Stegostoma tigrinum: one gene and its partner. Each later gene encodes a partner of the first gene's protein in a complex. Links are inferred from orthologs where the notes say so. Each region holds a gene or a part of one and is shown in the gene's direction. Other genes may lie near its edges.

Region 1 (10,362 bases):
TGCTGAGTTTCTCCAGCACTTTCTGTTTATTGTTTCTTGGAGATAAATGTAACTCACACATTTATAATGCATCTTTAATGCAACAAATTGCCCCCAAGGGGGTTAGCAGAGGTGTTAATAAGCATAAAAACACATTAATGTTCACGGGTTTAGTTAACAAAAGAGTTTGGGTAGTGTCCTAAAAATGGCAGAAAAGGTTAGCAAAGGAGTTCCAGAAGTTGGGGCCCGTGCAGCTGAAAGGAAGGGTGTCAGTTGTGGAGTGATTAAAATCGAAACAGAATTGCAGGAGAGCAGAATATAATCCCTGGAGTATAGAAGCAGGCCATTCAGCCCATTGAATCCACACTAATCCTCTGAAGAGGATCCCACTCCTGACCCTATCCGTGTAATCTTGCATTTCCCATGAAATATCCCACTCCTGACCCTATCCGTGTAATCTTGCATTTCCCAGAATATAATCCCTGGAGTATAGAAGCAGGCCATTCAGCCCATTGAATCCACACTAATCCTCTGAAGAGGATCCCACTCCTGACCCTATCCGTGTAATCTTGCATTTCCCAGAATATAATCCCTGGAGTATAGAAGCAGGCCATTCAGCCCATTGAATCCACACTAATCCTCTGAAGAGGATCCCACTCCTGACCCTATCCGTGTAATCTTGCATTTCCCATGGCTAACCCAGCTAAGCCTGCACAACCCTCGACACAATTCAACAACTTACCATGCCCAATGCACCTAACCAGGGAGAACATGCAAACTTCACCCAAGGCTGGAATTGAACCCATGTTCCTGGTACTGTGAGGGAGCAGTGCTGACCACAGGACCACCATGTCACTCCAATTTTTTTTAGGGAGTTCCTGGTATCTGCAGTTGCCTGGCAAGACTTGTTTGACACAATACCACCAGAGAGGTTCAGAGCCTCTTTGTGGGAGAGTGTCTCTGAGATTCCCTGTTGAGAAAATTAGAACAAACTCACTCGAGATACCATAAGCCATTACCAAAACCAGGCAGGTAAGCTGCACAATACTGCATATTGACCAGCCAATCTACCTGATTTACAGAATTTTAAACAGAGGAAGACTGGTGGGGGGTTGGGATCCTCAATGGCAGGGAGGCAAGTGCAAGGCTGAAAGGAGATACCGTAATAAGAAACAGCAAGTTGAAGAAACATGCCAAACTGGAACAGGACAGGGAGTGAGGAATGCCTGTTGGATTAAATTGCATCTATTTCAATGCAAGGGTGCTGACAGATAAGTCCGATGAACTCAGGGTGTGGATAGGTATGTGGGTCTGGGATATTATAGCCATTACAGAAACATGGCTAAGGGACGGACAGGATTGGCAGCTAATGTGCCAGGGCATAGGTGCTTTAGGCTGGACAGAGGTGGAGGCAAGAGTGGAGGGGGACGAGGAGTGGCATTTTTGATTGAAGGGAGTATCCCAGCAATAGAGAAGAAATAACTGAGGGATCATCCAGAGAGGCTTTGTGGGTGGAGCTAAGAAATAAGAAGAGGATGGTGACATTATTGGGGTTGTACTATAGGCCCCCAAATAGTTGATGGAAATTAGAGGAACAAATATGCAGGGAGTCTGGGGAAACTTGCAGGAACAATAGGATTGTCATAGTGGGGGATTTTAACTTTCTTAACATTGACTGGGACAGCCATACTGCTAAGGGCTTCGATGGGGTTGAATTTGTTAAATGTGTTCAGGAAAGTTGCCTTAAGCAGTATATGGAGGGTCCAATTCAGGAAGCGGCAAAACTCGACCTACTGTTGGGAAATAGGGCAAGGCAGGTGACTGCAGTGACAGTGGGGGAGCACTTCAGGACCAGTGACTGTAGTTGTATTAATTTTAAAATAGTTATGGAGAGGGGCAAAATTATTCCACAGGTTCAAGTTCTAAACTGGGGCAAGGTGAATTTTGATCGACTTGGATAGGAGCTTGCAGGGGTTGATTGGAGTAGTTTGTGGGCTAAAGGACGGCTGGCAAGGGAGAGGCTGTTGAGAGTGACAGTTAGAGTTCGGGGTCTGTATGTTCCTGTGAGGGTGGAGGGCAAGATTGGCAGGAGTAGGGAAGCCTGGATGACAAAAGATTTTGAGGTTTTGACCAGAAAAAAGGAGGCATGGCTCTGGCACAGGCAGCTGGGATCAAGGGAATCCCTAGAGGTATGTAGGGGATACAGGAAGTTTACGAAGAAGGAAATCAGGAGGGCAAAAAGAGGGCACAAGACAGCTTTGGCTGAGAAGATTAGGATGAATCCAAAGAGATTCTTTAAGTATATTAAAGGAAAAAGAATAACTAGAGAGAAAATAGGATCCCTCAAGGACCAAAGTGGACATGTATGTGTGGAACCACAGGAGATGGGCGAGGTCCTCACTGAATATTTCTCCTCTGTGTTTACCATAAGAAAGACATGAAGACTTGGGAAGTTGGGGAAATTAGTGGCGATATCTTGGAAATAGCCCATATCGCAGTAGAGGTGGTGTTGGAAGTATTAGAATGCCTGAAGGTGGATAAATCTCCTGATCCTGACCAGATCTATCCAAGAACCCTACAAGAGGCTAGAGAAAAAATTGCAGGAGGCCTGGCTTTGCATCATTAGCCAAGGGTGTGGTCCCAGAAGACTGGAGGGTACAGAATGTTGTGCCCTTATTCAAGAAGGGCTGCATAGAAAAACCAGGGAATTATAGAACAGTAAATCTAAAATTGTGGTGGGTAACTTATTTGAGAAGATTCTGAGGGATAAGATATGCATGCATTTGGAAAGGCAGGGTCTGATGAGGATGGCATGGTTTTGTGTGTGGAAGATGATGCCCTATAAATCTTTTCAAGTTCTTTGAAGTGATCAGAAAGGTCGATAAGAGCAGGACGGTAGATGTAGTCTGTGTGGATTTCATTAAAGCCTTTGATAAGGTTCCACATGGGAGGCTGCTCTGGAAGGTTAGATTGTATAGAATGCAGGGAGAGCTGGCAAATTGGATGCACAATTGGCTTGATGCTAGGATTCAGAGAGGAATAGTGGAAGGAGGTTTGTCAAATTGGAGGCCTGTGACTATTGGTGTGCCTCAGGGGTTGGTGCTGGGCCTATTGGTATTTGTTATCTATGTCAATGATTCAGATGAGAGTATACAAAGGATGATTAGTAAGTTTGCAGGTGACACTAAAATAGGTGGTATCGTGGACAGTGAGGAAGGTTATTAGAAATTGCAGCAGGATCTTGATCAGTTGGGGAAGTGAGCTGAGAAGTAGCAAATGGAGTTTAATAATAAGTGTGAGATATTGCGTTTTGCAAAGTCATATCAAGGTAGGAGTTTCATGGTGAATGGTAGGCCCTTAAGGAGTGTAGTGGAACAGAGGGACCTTGGAGTTCAGATGTACGGTTCTCTGAAAGTGGAGGCACTGGTAGGCAGGGCAGTTAAGAAGGCTTTTGGCACACTGGTCTTCATCAGTCAGGGCACTGAGTATGGAAGTTGGGATGTTATGTTGCAGTTGTGCAGGACATTGGTGGGGCCGCATTTGAGAGTACCGTGTTCAGTTTTGGTCAACATTCTATAGGAAGGAGGTTATTAAACTGGAAACAGTGCAGGAGAAATTTACATGGATGTTGCCAGGACCCAAGGGACAGAGTTATTGGGAGAGGTTGGACACGGTGGGACTTTTTTCTAACGAGCATAAGAGACTGAGGGATGATCTGATGGAAATGTATTACGTCATGAAAGGCATGGATAGGGTGAATGCATTCAGTCTTTTTCCCAGGGTTGGGGAAAATCGAGGACTAGAGGGCATCAGTTTAAGGTAAGAGGGGACAAAATACATGGGAACCTGAAGGGTAACTTTTTTACACAGTGAGTGGTACACATATGGAACGAGCTGCCAGTGGAAGTGGTTGAGGGGGGTACGTTAACAACATTTAAAAGGCATTTGGATAATACATGGATAACAAAAGCTTAGAAGTATTTTGGCCAAGTTCAGGAAAATAGATTTAGCGTGGATGGACATTTTGGTCGGCATGGACCAGTTTGGGCTGAAGGGCATGTCTCCGTGCTGTAGGAGTCTTTGACTCGATGCAGAGTTCTATGTTCACAAAAATGACAATCTTTACGCTTTGGCAGTGCGTTGGATAAAATGCAGAAATACATTCCTCCTACCAATACTGAGCATGTTTTGTTGACTTGTGTGATATGTCATTATACAAGAACTATGAGCAGGTGGAGGCCAATCAACCCCTCAGGTCTGCTCCTCAATTCAAAATGATCATGGCTGATCTCATCCTGGCCTCAAATCCCATAACCCTTTAACCCATTACAAACTAAAAATCTATCTCCTTAAATTATTCAGCACCCTCACACTAGTGAATTCCACAGGCTCATGGACCTTGGAGGGATGTAATTCCTCCTCAATTCAGTCTTAAATCCTCATTCTATGACTGTGACCCTCTTGTTCCATATTGACACACATAAGGATAAATTGTCTCAGTGATAATGGGAACTGCAGATGCTGGAGAATCCAAGATAATAAAGTGTGAAGCTGGATGAACACAGCAGGCCAAGCAGCATCTCAGGAGCACAAAAGCTGACGTTTCGGGCCTAGACCCTTCATCAGAGAGCTCTCTGATCGAGGACTAGAGGGCATCAGTTTAAGGTAAGAGGGGACAAAATACATGGGAACCTGAAGGGTAACTTTTTTACACAGTGAGTGGTACACATATGGAACGAGCTGCCAGTGGAAGTGGTTGAGGGGGGTACGTTAACAACATTTAAAAGAGAGCTCTCTGATGAAGGGTCTAAGCCTAAAACGTCAGCTTTTGTGCTCCTGAGATGCTGCTTGGCCTGCTGTGTTCATCCAGCTTCACACTTTATTATCTAGGATACATTGTCTCTACATTTACTCTGTTGATCCCCTTTAGTAAGGGCCCATGGTGTTCGAGGTGAGCTACTGGCTTGGATCGAGGATTAGCTGTCTGACAGAAGGCAGAGAGTTGGGATAAAAGGCTCTTTTTCGGAATGGCAACCGGTGACGAGTGGTGTCCCGCAGGGTTCAATGTTGGGGCCACAGCTGTTCACCTTATACATTAATGATCTGGATGAAGGGACCGGGGGCATTCTGGCGAAGTTTGCCGATGATACGAAGATAGGTGGACAGGCAGGTAGTACTGAGGAGGTGGGGAAGCTGCAGAAAGATTTAGACAGTTTAGGAGAGTGGTCCAGGAAATGGCTGATGAAATTCAATGTGAGTAAATGTGAGGTTTTGCACTTTGGGAAAAAAGAATACAGGCATGGACTATTTTCTAAATGGTGAGAAAATTCGCAAAGGAGAAGTACAAAGGGATCTGGGAGTGTTGGTCCAGGACTCTTTAAAGGTTAACTTGCAGGTAGAGTCCGTAATTAAGAAAGCGAATGTAATGTTGTCGTTTATCTCAAGAGGGTTGGAATATAAAAGCAGCAATGTGCTTCTGAGACTTTATAGAGCTCTATTTAGGCCCCATTTAGAATACTGTGTCCAATTTTGGGCCCCACACCTCAGGAAGGTCATATTAGCCCTGGAGCGTGTCCAGCAGAGATTCACACGGATGATCCCTGGAGTGGTTGGTTTAACGTATGATGAGTGGCTAAGGATCCTGGGATTGTACTCATTAGAGTTTAGAAGGTTGAGAGGAGATCTAATAGAAGCTTACAAGATAATGTACGTTTTAGAAGGGGTGGACGCTAGGAAGTTGTTTACGTTAGGCGGGGAGACTAAGGCGTGGGCACAGCCTTAAAATTAGAGGGGGTAAATTTAAAACTGAAACGAGGAGACATTTCTTCTGCCAGAAAGTGGTGGGTTTGTGGAATTCATTGCCGCAGAGTGCAGCGGAGGCTGGGACGTTGGATGCCTTCAAGGCAGAGATCGACAAATTCTTGATCTCAGAAGGAATCAAGGGCTACGGGGAGAGTGCAGGAAAGTGGAGTTGAAATGCCCATCAGCCATGATTTAAATGGCAGAGTGGACTTGATGGGCTGAATGGCCTTACTTCCACTCCTATGTCTTATGGTCTTATAGTATTTTAAGATCTCAATTACATCTAAAATCAAGAGCATATAAATCTACACTGACATAAGACAAACTCTTTTATCTCTAGAATTAATCTTGTGAGGCTCTTATTAATGGCCCCCAATTCAATGACATCTTTCCTCAAGTAAGTGGTCCAAAAATTGTATGCAATACTCAAGGTGTGGTTTCACTAATGCCTTGTACAGTATTAGCAACACTTCCCTCCTCTTATGCTCTATTCTTTTAGCAGTATATATGAAAATTCCATTTTCCTTCCTTATTATCTGCTCTACTTGCACACTAGTTTTGTGCAATTCATGCACAAGGATACCCAGGTCGCTCTACAAAACATTTTGAGGTTTCTCTCCATTTAGATAAGTTGCCTTTCAGAGAGGGTGCAGCAAAGATACCTTGGATTGATTGCCGGAGAGAGGGGGGTGGGCTGTGAGAAGAGATTAAGTAGAATGGGCCTCTACCCTCTGGAGTTCAGTGGAATGAGGTCATCTCATTGAAATGTGTTAAATTCCTCGTGGATGACAGCGTAGATGCTGAGGTGCTGTTTACTTTAACTAGATCCAAGGGGGCACTGCCTCTGGGTTGAGCTGAGACGAGAATTTCGGTGCCTAGTGGATGAGAACGTGTTGAATTCTCTGCCCGAGAGAGTTGAGATGTGGATTATATTAAAGAACAAAAAGGTCCCTGAGCTTAAGAGAACCATGGCGCGTCTGGGAGATTGTCTGTGACTGATTGAACGGGGGGATTAGGTTTGAAAGGGATATATTTGCCGCAATCATTTTACAATCTGTGTGTGTTCTCGTGTTTCTGCTCCAAAACCTTTCGAGAACTGGATCGAGATGTGAGACCATCATAAAACCAGCAGGTGCCAGAGGGCAGCAATATTTCAGATGGAGACTTTGCTGGTTGAGCGATGTCGGTCGGACGTGTTAGGTCCGGTACAACTAACACCAAGGACTTTAGTCCAGGCCGGCAGGGAGTTAGTATTAGGACAGGACAGTCTTTGTTGTCACACGTACTCGGTGAGTACAGTTAAAAACAGTTTATACACTGCCACTGCGATGTGCAAGTGCCCAGGCTCCTCTCGTTACAAGCTTTACACGATGCAGACCATAAAACCCAGGCTCGAAAGTCTCTCTCTCCCCCCCAGCAATGGATGTTCTCTGGCCCCCGGGGGGGTCCCCTGCACTTGTTTTCAGTACAGAACACAAAAATGTCCAGCTTTACAGAAATAAAAGTTCAGCACAGCCGACCACTTAGCTTCCAGTCCGCGCCGGGGCCTGGCTCTGGAGCAGGCCAGCGACACGACAGCACCACGCCGGGGCGGGGAGTCACCGCTGGGAGCAGGCCAGACGTTTCGACAGACACCGTCGACGGTGACACCCCCTCGATCAGAAATCCTCCGTGTGGTGCTGCGGGAGTGCAGCCCTGTCGCAGGGGCCGCCCCTGAGGTGAGACGTTAAACCGAAGCCAGCCCCTCGGCGCGAGGGGTAGGATCCCGCGGGCACCTGTCCCCGAACATGTTTATCCCTCAGTCAGTGTCTCTAAAACACAGATGAACCAGTTTTTCTCACGTTGCTGCCTCTGGGAGCTTGCTGTGCACAAACTAGTCTCAACTCCCCTCAATGTAGTGACTTAGTCTCTCCCAGTCCTTCCCTACAGGGAGAAGAATAAATCTCTCCCTGTCCACCCCCTGCCCTCAGTCTGAGAATTAGTTTCTCCCAGTGACCCCCCCCAGCCTGAGGATTAGTCTCTCCCAGTAACCCCGCCCAGCCTGTGAATTAATCTCTCCCAGTAAACCCCCAGCCTGAGAATTAGTCTCTCCCAGTGACCCCCCCCAGTTTGAGGATTAGTCTCTCCCAGTAACGCCGCCCAGCCTGTGAATTAATCTCTTCCAGTAACACCCCCCCCAGCCTGAGAATTAATCTCTCCCAGTAACCCCCGCAGCCTGAGAATTAGTCTCCCCCAGTAAACCCCCAGCCTGATAATTAGTCTCTCCCAGTAACACCCCCTAACCTGAGAATTAGTCTCTCCCACTAACCCCCCCAGCCTGAGAATTAGTCTCTCCCAGTAACACGCCCCACCACCTGAGAATTAATCTCTCCCAGTAAACCCCCTAGCCTGAGAATTAGTCTCCCCCAGTAACCCCCCGCCTGAGAATTAGTCTCTCCCAGTAACACCCGCCCAGCCTGAGAATTAGTCTCTCCCTGATTTCCCCGAGTCTGAGAATTAGTCTCTCCCTGATTCCCCCCGCTGCAAGCAGGGAATTACTCTCTCCCTTAACCCCCGTGCCGGGGGAGGTTGGTCTCTCCCCGTTGCCACGGCGATGCGGTTGCCCGGATGCGGCGCCTGCGGTTCGGGAATTCCCGGATGTGGCAGTGAACCCCTGGGAAGAAAACTCTTCCCCCGCAGGCACCAGCAGCCGTAGCCGGACAGGTCAGTCCAAGGGAGGGGGGTGACAAAGGGGAAGACAGAGGGAAAGAGTGGGAGCGGGGGCGTGAGAAGGAGTGGGAGTGGGGGCGGGGCGTGTGGCATGTGGTGGGACGTGTGAGGGGGGAAGAAGGGGGGGAGAAGGGGGCGGGGCGGGGAGGGGGGAGAAGGGGGCGGGCGGGGAGAAGGGGGCGGGGCGGGGAGAAGGGGGCGGGGCGGGGAGGGGCGGGGGGGAGAAGGGGGAGGGGCGGGGGGGAGAGGGGGGAGGGGCGGGGGGGGAGAGGGGGGAGGGGCGGGGGGAGGGGCGGGGGGGGAGAGGGGGGGAGGGGCGGGGGGGGAGAGGGGGGAGGGGCGGGGGGGAGAAGGGGGAGGGGCGGGGGGGAGAAGGGGGAGGGGCGGGGGGGGAGGGGGGAGGGGCGGGGGGGGGAGGGGAGAGGGGGAGGGGCGGGGGGGGAGGGGCGGGGGGGAGAGGGGCGGGGGGGAGAAGGGGAGGGGAGAAGGGGGAGGGGCGGGGGGGGAGAAGGGGGAGGGGTGGGGGGGAGGGGCGGGGGGGGAGAAGGGGGAGGGGTGGGGGGGAGGGGCGGGGGGGGAGAAGGGGGAGGGGTGGGGGGGAGGGGCGGGGGGAGAAGGGGAGGGGCGGGGGAGGGGCGGGGGAGAAGGGGAGGGGCGGGGGGAGAAGGGGCGGGGGGGAGAAGGGGGAGGGGCGGGGGGGAGGGGCGGGGAGGGGCGGGGGGGAGAAGGGGGAGGGGCGGGGGGGGAGAAGGGGGAGGGGCGGGGGGGAGAAGGGGAGGGGCGGGGAGGGCGGGGGAGAAGGGGGAGGGGCGGGGGGGAGAGGGGGAGGGGCGGGGGGAGAAGGGGGAGGGGCGGGGGGGAGAGGGGGAGGGGCGGGGGGAGAAGGGGAGGGGCGGGGGGGAGAAGGGGGAGGGGCGGGGGGGAGAGGGGGGAGGGGCGGGGGGAGAAGGGGGAGGGGCGGGGCGGGGGGGAGAAGGGGGCGGGGAGGGGCGGGGGGAGAAGGGGGCGGGGAGGGGGGGAGAAGGGGAGAAGGAGGGGGAGGGGGGAGAAGGGGGCGGGGAGGGGGAGAAGGGGGAGGGGCGGGGAGGGGGTAGAAGGGGAGGGGAGGGGGAGAGGGGGGAGAAGGGGGCGGGGAGGGGGGAGAGGGGGAGGGGCGGGGAAGGGGGAGAAGGGGAGGGGCGGGGAGGGGGGGAGAAGGGGGCGGGGAGGGGGGGAGAGGGGGAGAAGGGGGAGGGGCGGGGAGGGGGGGAGAAGGGGGAGGGGCGGGGGGAGAAGGGGGAGGGGCGGGGGGGAGAAGGGGGAGGGGCGGGGGGGAGAAGGGGGCGGGGAGGGGGAGAAGGGGAGAAGGAGGCGGGGAGGGGGGAGAAGGGGGCGGGGCGGGGAGGGGGGAGAAGGGGGCGGGGCGGGGAGGGGGGAGAAGGGGGCGGGCGGGGAGGGGGGGGAGAAGGGGGAGGGGGGGAGGGGGGGGAGAAGGGGGAGGGGCGGGGAGGGGGGGGGAGAAGGGGGATGGGCGGGGAGAAGGGGAGGGGGGAGGGGCGGGGAGAAGGGGAGGGGCGGGGAGAAGGGGGAGGGGCGGGGAGAAGGGGGAGGGGGAGGGGCGGGGAGAAGGGGAGGGGGAGGGGCGGGGAGAAGGGGAAGGGGGGAGAAGGGGGAGGGGGAGGGCGGGGAGAAGGGGAGGGGGGAGGGGCGGGGAGGAGGGGGAGGGGCGGGAGAAGGGGGAGGGGGGGAGGGGCGGGGAGAAGGGGGAGGGGGGAGGGGCGGGGAGGAGGGGGAGAAGGGGGAGGGGCGGGGAGAGGGGGAGAAGGGGGAGGGGGAGGGGGAGGGGCGGGGAGAAGGGGGAGGGGGGAGGGGGGAGGGGCGGGGAGAAGGGGG
Region 2 (12,599 bases), on another chromosome or scaffold:
CCTTCAGGTAGCATCATTGTGGCACTTCAGGAGGCCCAGGATGGACATGTCGTCGAAAGAATGGGAGGGCGAGTTGAAAAGGTTCGCGACAGGGAGGTGCAATTGTTTGGTGTGAACCGAGCACAGGTGTTCTGCAAAGCAGTCCCCAAGCCTCCGCTTTGTTTCCCCGAGAGGAGGAAGAGGCCACAACGGGTACAGCGGATGCAGTATACTACATTGGCAGATGTGCAGGTGAACATCTGCTTGATGTGGAAAGTCTTGGGGCCTGGGATGTGGGTGAGGGAGGAGGTGTGGGGGCATGTGTAGCACTTCCTGCGATTGCAGGGGAAAGTGCCGGGTATGGTGGGCTGGAGAGGAGTGTGGAGCGGACAAGGGAGTCCTGGAGAGAGTGGTCCCTCCGGAAAGCAGACAAGGGTGGGGAGGGAAAGATGTCTTTGGTGGTGGGGTCAGTTAAGAAAATGATTTTTTTGCACATTCTTGATCTTTGCCAAATTAGCAAAATGCATTGAAAAACATACAGAGGCATAAAATGAGCAACCAATATTTCTGTAACTTCATTACATAAGAGTACAAGACAGTCTCAGTGCAATGGATACGGCAGCAACTGGTTATTTCTTCAGATTGATTCACAGAATGGGGAGATATTATGGCCATGGGCTATGTGCCATATTGCCACCACAAAGCACTTGAAAGTATGATATTTATTCTATTTGAAAGTACATATTGTTTGTACCATGCCACAAATTACCATGAACAATGCCATTATGTTCAAATATGGAATTAAAATGTTTCAGGGCTCTCCTATGTACAACGTTTATTGCACCACGAACTAATGCTTAAAAATAAGCTATGAACCAATATTAAAATGTAGATGCAAACATTTTTTAAGATGTTCTGTAAGAGTAAAACACTTACTTCCTCATGGAGTGGTTTTGGACATCAGGTGCTGAGGGAATATTTGTTAGTTTAAGGAAAAATATCCAATATAATCCAATTAGCATTGTTCAATTATAACATTTCAAAACAATACAATTAAAATTGCAACTTTTTCTAATTCTTTCCCTTTTTTGGGTTTGTCTCAAAAGTGGTTTGCTAGGCTAGACATATAGTTTGTTTTTTAAAACTATAAGCTACGCTACAGTAATCCAGTAGTTTTACAGTCACTTCAGATTTATACTATCTAAAATTAAGTTTCATTGTGATGGAAATATTTTGCATGTTTTCTTTGCACCCTGTCAAGAATGTTGCTTAATAGCACTGAAATCATGAAAGGTCATCACCACAAAAACTAAACATTGCAGATGCTGGAAATGTGATATAAAAAGCAAACAGATTCCAAAAATACTGAGGGTGTCAGGCAGGATTTATGGAGACCCATTTCAAATTAACCTCAAAGAAGTCTTCTGGTAATACAGGTTGTGACCCTGCCTCTGAGCCAGAAGCTATGCATTCAAGTCTTACTTTAAGGCTTGATGGCCAAGGAAAGGTATGTTCATGATATGGTCAAACAGGTCAAATACCAACTTGTAAGTCATTTCAAAATATGCTGATGGCAAGGCAGTAAGTGGGAGGCATTCCTGGTCAGCTATGGAATGAAAATTGGAGTTTCTCTATTATTATCAACAGTTATGGACTGGGAGAGAATATAGTGGTATTATCACTAGACTAGTAGTTCAGAAACCCAGGCAATATTCTGGAGAGCTGGGTTCAAATCCCTCCAAGACAAATGGCAAAATTAAAAATAATAGTCTAGTGATCATGAGGATTGCTAGGGACAAAAATGAACATCTGGTTCAGTAATACCCTTTAGGGAAACAATCTGCTGGCCTATATGTGGATCCAGACCGCCAACAATATGGTCAACACCGAAATGGTCTAGAAAGTCACTCAGTTGTATATATTAGACTTAGACAGCTGGGATTTGAGTGTATCCCTAAAGAAGCATAAAGAAAGTAGGAGAATATTCAAAAGGGCAAAAAGGGGCCACGAGATAGCTTTGGCAAATAGAGTTAAGGAGAATCCAAAGAGATTTCATAAATACATTAAGACCAAAAGACAACTAGAGACAGAATAGAGACCCTTAAAAGTCAATGTAGCCACACATGTATGGAAACTAACACAGGAGATGGGTGAGATACAAAATTAATATTTTGCTTCTGTATATACTGTGGAGAAGGACATGGAAGCTAGGGAACATGGGGAAATAAGTAGTGATGTCTTGAAAAGAGTTCACATTGCAAAACAAGTGGTGCTGGAGGTCTTAAAATACATAAAAGTAGATAAATCCCCAGACCTGATCAGGTGATGTTCAGAATTTTGTGGGAAGCTAGGGAAGAAATTGCTGATATTTTGTATCATCAATAGCCACGCATGAGATGCTAGAAGCGTGGAGGTTGTTTAATGTACTTAAGAAAGGTTGTAAGGAAAAGTTGAGAACAATACACTAGTGACCCTTACTTCAGTTGTGGGTACGTTGTTGGAGGGGATTCTGAGGGACAGCATTTACATGTATTTGGAAAGGCAAGGACTAACTAGAGATAGTCAATATCGCTTGTACATGAGAAATCATGTCTCACTAACTTGATTTGAATTTTTTGAGTTTGAAGAAGTGACGAAGATAATTGATGAAGGCAGAGTGGTAGATGTTGCTATATGGACTTTGACAAAATTTTCCACAAGGTTCCTTATGGTAGACTGGTTAGTAAGGTCAGATGACATGGAATGTGGGGAAGCTAACCAATTGGATACAAAACCGGTTTTAAGGTAAGAGACAGAGGATCGTGGGTAGAGGGTTGCTTTTTGGACTGGAGCCCTGTGACAATGGTGTTGGGTCCATTGATTTTCATCATTTACATGTTATGGACCAGCCCAAGTCCCATCAAGATATTTTAAGAAGGTAGCCTAGATCGTAACTTTTTCTTATTTTAAAAGTGCATGTTCTGGATGTAATGCAACTGGTCAGATCACTTGATGTTAAGCAAAACATAATTTATTTAAACACTGTAGTTAAAATACCAACAAAAGAAAGATAATTTAGAATAACAACTATTGGAAAACCTAATCAAATAATAGATACAGTAGCTATTATTAATTAACTAATGGCCAATGGGCAGATAGAGTTTTATTTAGATAAATGTGACGTGTTGCAGGGCAATGGTAGGACCCTGGGAAGTGTTGTCAAACAAAGAGACCTAGATGAGCATTCTTCCTTGAAAGTGGAATCTCAGGTAGACAGAGTGGAGAAGGTGGCATTTGGCACATTTGCCTTCTTTGATCAGAAACTGAGTATGAGGAGTTGGCATGTCATATCACGGCTGTACAGGACAATAGTTAGGCCACTTTTGGAATTCTGCCGAAAAAGGAAATCAAAAGAACTGCAGATACTGTAATTCAGAAACAAGAATAAAGATTGTTGGGAAAGCTCAGCAGGTCTAGCAGCATCTGTGGACAGAAGTTCTGAGCAAGGATCACGTGACCCAAAATGTCAACTCTGATTTCTCTCCATGGATGCTGCCAGATCTGTTGAGCTTTTCTAGGAATCTCTATTGTTGTTTTGGAATAGTGCATTCAATTCTGGTCTCTCTGCTATAGAAAAGACGTTGTTAAACTTAAAAAGGTTCAGAAAAGGTTTACAAGGTTGTTGCCTGGTTTGAAGGACTTGAACCATAAGGAAAGGCTGAATAGGCTTGGCTATTTTCCCTGCAGGAGGCTGAGGGGTGAACTTCTAGAGGTTTATAAAATTACTTGGGGCTTGGATAGCATGAATAACCCAGGATTTTTTACCCTTGGGTTGGGGAGTCCAAAACTAGAGGACATAGGTTTCAGGTGAGAGGGGAAATATTTTAAATAAGACAGGGGGGCAATTTTTTTTTCATGCAGAGGGTGGTACACGTATGGAACAAACTGCCAGAGAAAGAGCTGAAGGTTGGTACAATTACAACATTGAAAAGGTACCTGAATGGGTACTTGAATAGAAAGGGTTTAGAGTGATGTGGGCCAAATGCTGGCAAATGAGACTAGGCCAGATTGCAATGTCTGGTTGGTGTGGATGAAGACTGAAGTGTCTGTTTTCATGCTGCATGGCTCTATAAATTACTAGAAAGTCCCATCAAAAAAGTGAAAACCAGACAGACCACTTAGTATCTATCTAGGCACTTAAATTACAATGGGAAACAGCCCGATTAACCGAGTACTCCTTTCTCATAAATGAGGGCTCATAACAAAACTGGGAAAGCTGTCCCACTGACTAGTCTGGCAATAGCTTGACAGTCATACTCCCTGAATCATTCTGTACACACAAATGTCCCATAACCAACTATCACCATCCCTGGTTATTCCTCTTCTACCTGCTGAATACACTCAGCAGAGTAGCATACAGTCAGGAGGGAAATCTACCAAAATTGGCTCTGCACCTCACGAAGTCAAATAGCATTGGATCAGACATAATAATCATCAGCAAGTTTTTTTGCTAATGTACTGTCCCCGCTCCTGACCAGCACTATTGATTGACCTGATCGAGTCTGAAAGGACATTGCTGCTGGGCTAAGTCTGTAACAGGTAGTGAGGGAAACTAAAGGGAAATACACAAGTCTCATTCACACCAATCCACCTGCCACAGATGCATCTGGCTCTGACAGCATTATTAAGTGTAACCATTGAATGGTTCTTATGAAGTCAAAGCCCCATCTTCACATTGAGGACATTGAAGTTGTGTAATGTGGCACCATCACTGTGCTAAATGGGACTGACTTCAAATAACCTAGCAATGAGACTAGGCATTCATGACACACCTTGAGCAATCAGCAGCACCAGCAGAAGAATTGAGATTGCTGCTGTTAAGAGATCCCGACTTTCAATCTCCTTCTAGCTCCTTCGAATCCATTTTTAGGACCACACCCTTCTTATCAGTAATTGGTACTAATGTATTCCACAACTTTGATGTTTACTCTTCCCCAGAGGAATGGCCTGCAACCACTCCATGACAGCCTTGACCCTGGCAACTGTGAGAAAACCTACCATTCTGAAGTCACATTTGTGGTCAAAAACACACTTGTCTGTTTCCCCATATTACTGCTCTTCCACTCCTCTATCTACCCTCCTGTACAGCTGGGTCATCCATTACACTACATACCTATCTCTGACTGCACCCCTCCAAGCAGCCAATGCTCTCACTAGCATCCCAGGCAGAAAAATCAATTTGTAGCCATTTCCTCAGCGGACCCCTGCACTATCTGCCTGGTTCTCTTGGATTGCCTGGCAGTCACCCATTTCTTTGCTGTTTCCATACTTCCAGTCCCCAACCATGACCATTTCTCCAAAAAGCACTATCCACATAGCCCTTAGCTTCATAGATTCATCTGTGACTCCCTTCCAGATATTTTATAAGTAACCTGTTTAGAAATGTTTGTCCACACGGCTGGATCAGATGGCACTTGAAATCAAGCTTCCCTGGCTCAGGGGAAAGGGACATTACCACTAATGCCACAAGGGGATTTCACTAAACCTTCATATGTTATTGGTCAACCTGTTCAGATAAATTAGTACACACCTGTAGAATAAGTGGGTCTTGTCCCCAGATCTCCTGGCTCAGATGCACGACAATTGTATCTCAAGAACGCATCATCCAAGCTACCAAACCCAGAGCTAAGTTACTGCAGCTAGTGACACTTGATGTACTATCTACGTACTGCAGAATACGCATGTCACGTGACCAGGCCACACTTTTCCCTCAACCTCATTTCACTTAGCAACATTCTTTTTACTTGTATCGAACGGAATAATCTTCAGATATCGATGAACTTTTTAAATACTAATAAATGGGACTATTAGTTTTCACACTTGGTACTGGTTGCAATAAACCACACGCAAAACATCTTTTCTGAAATTCCAACATCAGCTTAATCCACTACTTTATATATCACTCAGGCATGATCGCCGAATCGGGTCCTTTCCTGACCCTGACAAGTCACGAACTAGCTTAGCTTCTTCGCGGTAATTAACACCAACTGAACTATTTTCAGCTGATTGACAGGTTACTGCTGCAAACCAGGCAGCTCCTTGTTGAACAAAGCAAACCAACTTGCTCGAAGGTTGTTAGTTTTGTGCTCTACTCTAACTCGCAAGTTTCAACCCGAAAACAAGGCTCGCCGGAACGTTTACGTGAACATAATTGGCTACTCTTTCTGTTTACGTCTCATCGTGCGCCCCTTGCAACAGTTATGTAACAAAAATCATTGGGTGTATTGCCAAATCACTGGTGGCCTCCGAACTAAGTTTCGGGCCAATGCAGACCTGCATCTAGAATGTTTAAACTGAAGTGGATTAGCCTGCTTTACATGCACGGCTCCACGGACTCGCTCAATGCGGCGGGGTACAGGCAGCTTTTGGTTTGCAGACGGGAGAGAGCCGCGGAACTGCAAGGGTTAACAGTGTGTGCTGCGCTGATTGGGCCGCAACGTGCCAGGCGGAGAAGGGATTGGATGATGCGGTGAAGGAGACGCTGTCCCGGAGCTCGCGATTGAAGAGCAACAAAAGTGTTTGGGGGCGGCCGGCAGTGCACTGCACCGGCTGCTTACAGCGGGGCTGTAACTCAGTCAGCTCATAGCCATGTGAACTTCAATCCCTGGCGAATCCGAGAGGCAGAGCGAGCGGAGAAGAAGTCCGTGCGAAGTTAGTGCTGGGAGTTGGACATCGGGCATCATTCGGCACTCTCCGGCTCGGCCCCATGTCAGCATGAGTTTCCGAGATGTCGACCGCACAGAAAAGTTTGGGAGACGTGAAGTCTCGAAATGTTTGAGTCGAAAGTCCACTTGTGATTGTTGTAGCCCAGCGTCCAACTGTTTTTGACTGGCGACTTGAGAGCTGATCGGATCGTGGTTGGGGCTTGGGGACAAGATATGTTTTGAATCCTCACATTCAACAGAGATGCAAAAAGCCAGGGTCAAGAAAATGACCTTAAATTATTTGCTTTTATCGTATCTAGTTTTTTACCTGATTTTGCAAGACGTCAGCGGTAAGTTAAAACGATAGTTAAAGCGTTTTGGTCGAAGTCGTTAATAGTAAATAAGTGGTCAGGAATGTGTCTTGTATTTAGTTGCTGATGCTTCAGGTTTGTGGAGTAAACCTTGACTGCTGAACTTCAGCATGAACATAATCTGAAGTTGTGGAAAACGAACAATTTGCGCCCTTACTTAATGGTCATGCATGGGAAAGTGACAACTTTATTTGTGTCACAGGTTCCAATATTTGTACAAGTGGACGTGCTACCTCCTGCAAAGAGTGTTTGCTTATTCATCCTGACTGTGGCTGGTGTATTCAAGAGGTAGGCTGCTTGGCAGACTTAAAGAATTGCTATAAACTCACAAGCTCCCAATTTACGAAACATTGTATTTTCCTGCAACCTCCATTTTCGCTCTTGAACGGAACATTTAGGTTAGCTCGTGATTGAGATTGTTCTTTGTCCTTTGGTTCTTGGGCTGCTAATAACAGTGACTTTTAGGGAAACATGCGGATAAAAGTGTGGGAAATTTGTAAGTTTGGTTAAAAAGAATCAATAACAAGTAATTACGATAACATTCTGTCAGTGAGTCTGTAATGTTGGCCTGCAGTGGATTATCAAATATAATATAATTTGCTGTTCAACTTTTTACTATTATCATGGGAAGCACCAATGAAAATTCACCAAATACTTAGTCCGAGTGGAGGCACTGCAACATCGCCACTGGTATAATCGCAACAGATGAGTTGTCGTAAATAAAATACGGACTCGGAAGATTCATATTGAAAATATGTCTTTTAAATGAAAACTGTATTACGTCTCCATTATCTGATCCAAACATTCCTGTCATCAATATTATATTTGATTTGAAACTGACTGGTGTGTTATGTAGATATCAGTCACACGTATACAACATAACACATCTGTTGGTAACATCTGCTTAAAATGGAATTTCAAATATGTACCTTCACATATGAGAATGTGGAAATAATATATCTGAGCTTTGAGATTTTTAATAGTGCATTAAGTTAATGTACCAGAAGGAAGCTAATTTGAAGTGAAGTTCCATTTCACCTGATGGAGTGGTGCTGTGAAAACTTGTGATTTCAAATAAACCTATTGGACTATAACCTGGTGTAGTGTGACTTCTGATTTTAAGAATGTATATTTCTATCCTCCCAGTTGGATTGAATCAAACAAAATACTTTCAGGAACTCTAATAACTTCTAGGTGTCTACTGTTTATATAAAGAGGAGGAGGCGGTACAGCTTCTTGAGACTGATCTGTTGTGTTAAATCAGGGTGTTGCGAACTTTATATCTTGTTTGTCTGCCTTTGTTCTGTGACCTTGTGTAAATTTATTGTCTGACAATGATCTAGAATTTGGTTTTGAGCATTTCAACTGACCCAGCATTCACAGCCTTTCATGGAAATGAGTTCCAGATTTCTGTGACCATTTGTATGAAAAAGTGCTTCCTGATTTTGTTTCTAAATGGCCTGGTTGATTGATAATATTATTCCCTCATCTTCTGCCAGCCAACACTGAATGTAATTGTGGGGTCTGAACAAAGTTTGTCCCTAAGTGAAGTATTACTTGCTAATTGTTGAATTCTAATCTGTTTGAACTAAGATCAACATTCTTTTTAGTCTTTTTTGATTACTTTTTGTTATTCATACTAATTTCTATTGATTTGTGCACATGGAAACAAATGCTCCTCTGCTTGCAGTCTCTCCTGACTTCTAAAAATAAGATTGATTTCTCTTTGGATCTGAAGTGAATGATTCTATACATTTTTCCTTGAAGTGCAACTGTCATAGTTTTATTCCATCACTTCATCTGCCTGTTTTCCTTTCTGAACGCTTCAGCTCATCGACTCTGTGTTCCTTCTTAGTGTCACCTGCAAATTTTTATATATCCTACTCTTTGTCCCTTCCTTCAAAGCTGTGTCAACAACAAATAGACTTGTTAAACCCTACACAACAACAACAGTGAAGTTGCTGGAAAAGCTCAGCACGTCTGGCAGGAAATCTTTGTCACAAAGCAGATATTCATTCAGCTACAAATGCCCCTTTCTACTGTGTCTAACCGCATCTAAAGATCCCCTGCCATATTGTGCTGTCACTGAATTTGATTCATTTTCTAGTTCCTTTCATCTCCAATCAGACTCTACCCAACTCTTCTTGTCCACATGATTCACATCGTTTTCTCTTGACCATATTAAACTGCTGAGCAGCTTCCCTTCCCGGCTTCGATGTTAGCTGATTTTGATAATGGTTTCATATTCTTGTAGTTTTTCTCTTCCCATCAAAACTTCCATGACTTTCCCGTTCCTTAGTAAAAACCATTCTTGATCTACCCTGTCCTGGCTACTGTCCTGCATGATCTTCAACTGCCTTTGACATTCCAAAACCATTTAATCTCTGTCTAATCAGTGTCCATATTTTCTGCAGCTCTGTGTTTGAAGCCACCCAATCAATTTTCTGACTGTACCACAGTTGCAAATGACATTCCATGAGACAGTAACTATGATAAGCTATTCCTCCTCATTCTTCCTAATCCTTACATGGCCAACTGCAACATTCTGTTTCAACCTGTCCTCCACTATCCAATAGGATAGGATTACACTCACTTGGTTCCAATCTTATCAACCCAGCCATGGTCATAAAAATAATTCTCCTTGTACTTGCAGTCTTTTAGCTCTGGAGTTCCCAATTAGTCTGTTCATGGCTGCCCTCTATTCCTCATCTACATTCTGCCATCATAAAAACTCATCAGATTCCACTTGGAAGCTCATGACACCTGAATCATCTTTGCTATCATTCTTAACTCCAGTAATGTCTCTGATTTGTCTGACTGTCCAGAATATGATACTGAAGCATATGTTTGTTCCAATTAAATATCGGAAAAACAAAAGGTATTGCTTTAATTTAATTTCCCTGGCCCTGAGCACCATCCATCTCCACAGCAGCTATTTAATGTTTAGTGAGAGTGTGTTCGCAACTTTGACTGTAACTGACTTGACATTGTCTTCCAAGTGTTTAACTGCTCTATTCCCATAACTGGTTACTTTTACCTCTGCTTTGTTACCCACCTCCAGGCTGTTGTGCAAATCTGCTGAAACCATCATCCTTGTTCTTTAAGTATTATTTCCATTCTCACCTTACCTATTTCCCATCTTCAATGCTACATGAACTTGAGGACATCTAAAACTCTACTGCCTGTATCCTAACTGCCGGCAAGTTCCAATAATCATCACCATCTCTGCTTATTGATTGATATTAGCTTCTGGATAGTGTTATAAAGTGGAGGTTATCCCCCCTCTGAACTAAAACCGAAACCTCCAAAGAGGAACATCATGCCCCGTAATCTGTGAAAGGACTGTGAAAAGTGGTGTAACCTGCTTTTCAGCAAATTCTAGTGGTTGAACAAAATAAATCCCTGACACACACTTTACAGGCAACAAATAACAATTTGATTATCTAACTCTAACACTGAACAAATTTACTAAATTATTAACAAATCCAAAAAAACCTACTAACTACTATTTCCAGATAAAACAAGATCCTAATAGCATGCTGTTCCAATAAATAGAAGTCCTACTTAAAAATAAAATGAGTAGAATATAGTCTTTCAAAATTACAGCCATATTAAGTATATCCTTTAATGCTCTGTGCCTTGTCCGTCTATTTGTTCTGCCAGGAATGCCTCCTTAGTTGATTCTTCTGTCAGGAATATTAACTAGTTATGCTGTTGGTACCTTTTGATATTTAGATGGTGCTTTCACAGACTCCTAAAAGTTTTAAAGAGAGCCAGCAAGTTTCTCATGAGAGCTGTTAACTGTGGCAAAAGGCATTTAACTTTCCTATCTTTGTCCAACTGCCCTTTACTTTTATACCCCCGATGACATATCAATTTCTTGCAATCAGATTGGTTGTCAAAACCATCAGATTCAAATTTGAGTGGTTATTGGTATCTAAGTACTTGATTCAAATTGACTAAATTCAAAAACCTGTTGTCTTGGTAAAAATGCTGTTTGGCGTGCAAACGTCATGGCCTTTCGGTGCAAATGTTTCAATTCGGGTGCTGTCTGTAATTGCAGACTTTCAAGCTGCTCAAGATATGGTTACATATTTCATACCAACTCCATTTGTATATAACATTGAATACAATGTTTCTATCTTGTATCAGCATTTTTCTTTTAAACCCGCAACAATGCATCTGCCATAACATTTTCATGACCCACAATGTACGATATGTAAATTAAATGCTTGTAACATAAGACTCCAAAGAAATTGCCTGGTGTTCTTGTCCTTAAATCTTTTCAGAAATGTCAAAGGATTGTGATTAGTATACACTGTTGTCTTTGATGCATTGTTTGTGATGTAAACATTAAAATGTTGTAAGGCCAGTATCAAATGCAATAACTCTTTTTCAGTGGTTGACTTTTTTTTTGGCAGATATATTTCTTTTTCCCTGAAAAATAACCACTTGGCTTTTCAATTACATAATCGTCCTCCTGTAACAACACAGCTCCAACCCCTACATTGCTTGCATAAATGGCGACTTTAAAGGGCATCCAAAAGATGTGTTGTGGCTAAAACTGGTGCGCTGGTTAACACTGCTTTTAAATTCTCAATGCCTCATGGCATTATTTTGTGCTCCGAAATTTTGTGCTTTTTTTAACAAATCAGTCAACGATGCCACCATACTACTAAAGTTTGGTACAATTTTCCTGTAAAATCCACTCAGCCCTAAAACCCGTGGCACCTCTTTCTTCAAGATTAGTCTTGGAAACTCCTCAATAGCCTTTGTCTTCACATTCCTTGCCGTTATCTGTACATACCCAATTGTTGTGCTCTAAGAGTGTCACATCTTCTGCCTTCACAAATTCTGCTTTTGCCAAGTTTATGACCAACTTTGCCTTCCATTGTTTTCAGAACCTCTGTCAAATGCTCCATGTGATCTTTCCACGAATGGCTAAAAATCACTAAGTCACCTATGTAGATAGCACAGTTAGTCAATCCTGCAACAGCTCTGTTCATAAGCCTATGAAAAGTGACTGGTGCCTTTTTCATTCCAAAGGACATTACTTTAAATTGATATAGCCCATTTGGGTTTAGAAAAGCTCCTCTTCCTCTCTCTGACTTGTCAGTAACCACGAAGTAAGGTCAACTTTGAGATGTAAATGGCTTCTCCTACTTTTTTCCACACAGTCCTCCAGCGTCCAAATTGGGTTTGAGTCAGGTTTGGCCATGGCGTTGACCTTCCAATAATCTATGCCGAATCATTGAATACCATTAGGTTTGGGAACCGACATGACTGGTGAACTCCATTCACTTTGACTCGGCTCTATAATGTCTTCTTGGAGTATTGCTTCCACTTACTTCTGAACCTGCTCTGTTTTGAGAGGATTAAGCCTGTAGACATGTTGTATTAATGGAACAGCATTCCCTACGCCAACCTCGTACTATAATGTTAGTCCTCCCCATTCTCCTACTACGCATGTCCTCACAGCACTGCAACAAATCTTTCAGTTCAGTTCTGTGTTCCTGGAACAGAGAGCTCACTACTATGTCCAATTCCTTAAGGACTTGCTCATTTT

Evidence for each region.
Region 2: the proteins of pak4 (region 1) and itgb5 are in contact, whole or in part, in a crystal structure (PDB 7S46), measured with the Homo sapiens proteins. The link is inferred for Stegostoma tigrinum from reciprocal best matches to the Homo sapiens genes PAK4 and ITGB5. Residues at the interface, in NP_001014831.1 of Homo sapiens: Gly330, Ser331, Gln358, Arg359, Leu362, Thr404, Lys442, Ser443, Asp444, Asp458, Phe461, Leu475, Val476, Gly477, Thr478, Pro479, Tyr480, Trp481, Met482, Glu507, Glu512, Phe516, Asn517, Glu518, Pro519, Pro520, Met524; in NP_002204.2 of Homo sapiens: Ser762, Arg763, Ala764, Arg765, Tyr766, Glu767, Met768, Ala769, Ser770.

The regions. Positions count from the first base shown.
Region 1 is NC_081392.1:17,168,777-17,179,138, forward strand, and holds the start of pak4 (serine/threonine-protein kinase PAK 4), read left to right. Parts: upstream 1-6,930; 5' UTR 6,931-7,070; intron 7,071-7,185; exon of another isoform or gene 7,186-7,499; intron 7,500-8,369; exon of another isoform or gene 8,370-8,484; intron 8,485-8,643; exon of another isoform or gene 8,644-9,867; intron 9,868-9,901; exon of another isoform or gene 9,902-9,958; intron 9,959-10,166; exon of another isoform or gene 10,167-10,236; intron 10,237-10,362. UniProt on the Homo sapiens protein: Serine/threonine-protein kinase that plays a role in a variety of different signaling pathways including cytoskeleton regulation, cell adhesion turnover, cell migration, growth, proliferation or cell survival.
Region 2 is NC_081360.1:65,579,804-65,592,402, reverse strand, and holds the start of itgb5 (integrin beta-5), read left to right. Parts: upstream 1-6,500; 5' UTR 6,501-6,924; coding exon 6,925-7,012; intron 7,013-7,235; coding exon 7,236-7,321; intron 7,322-12,599.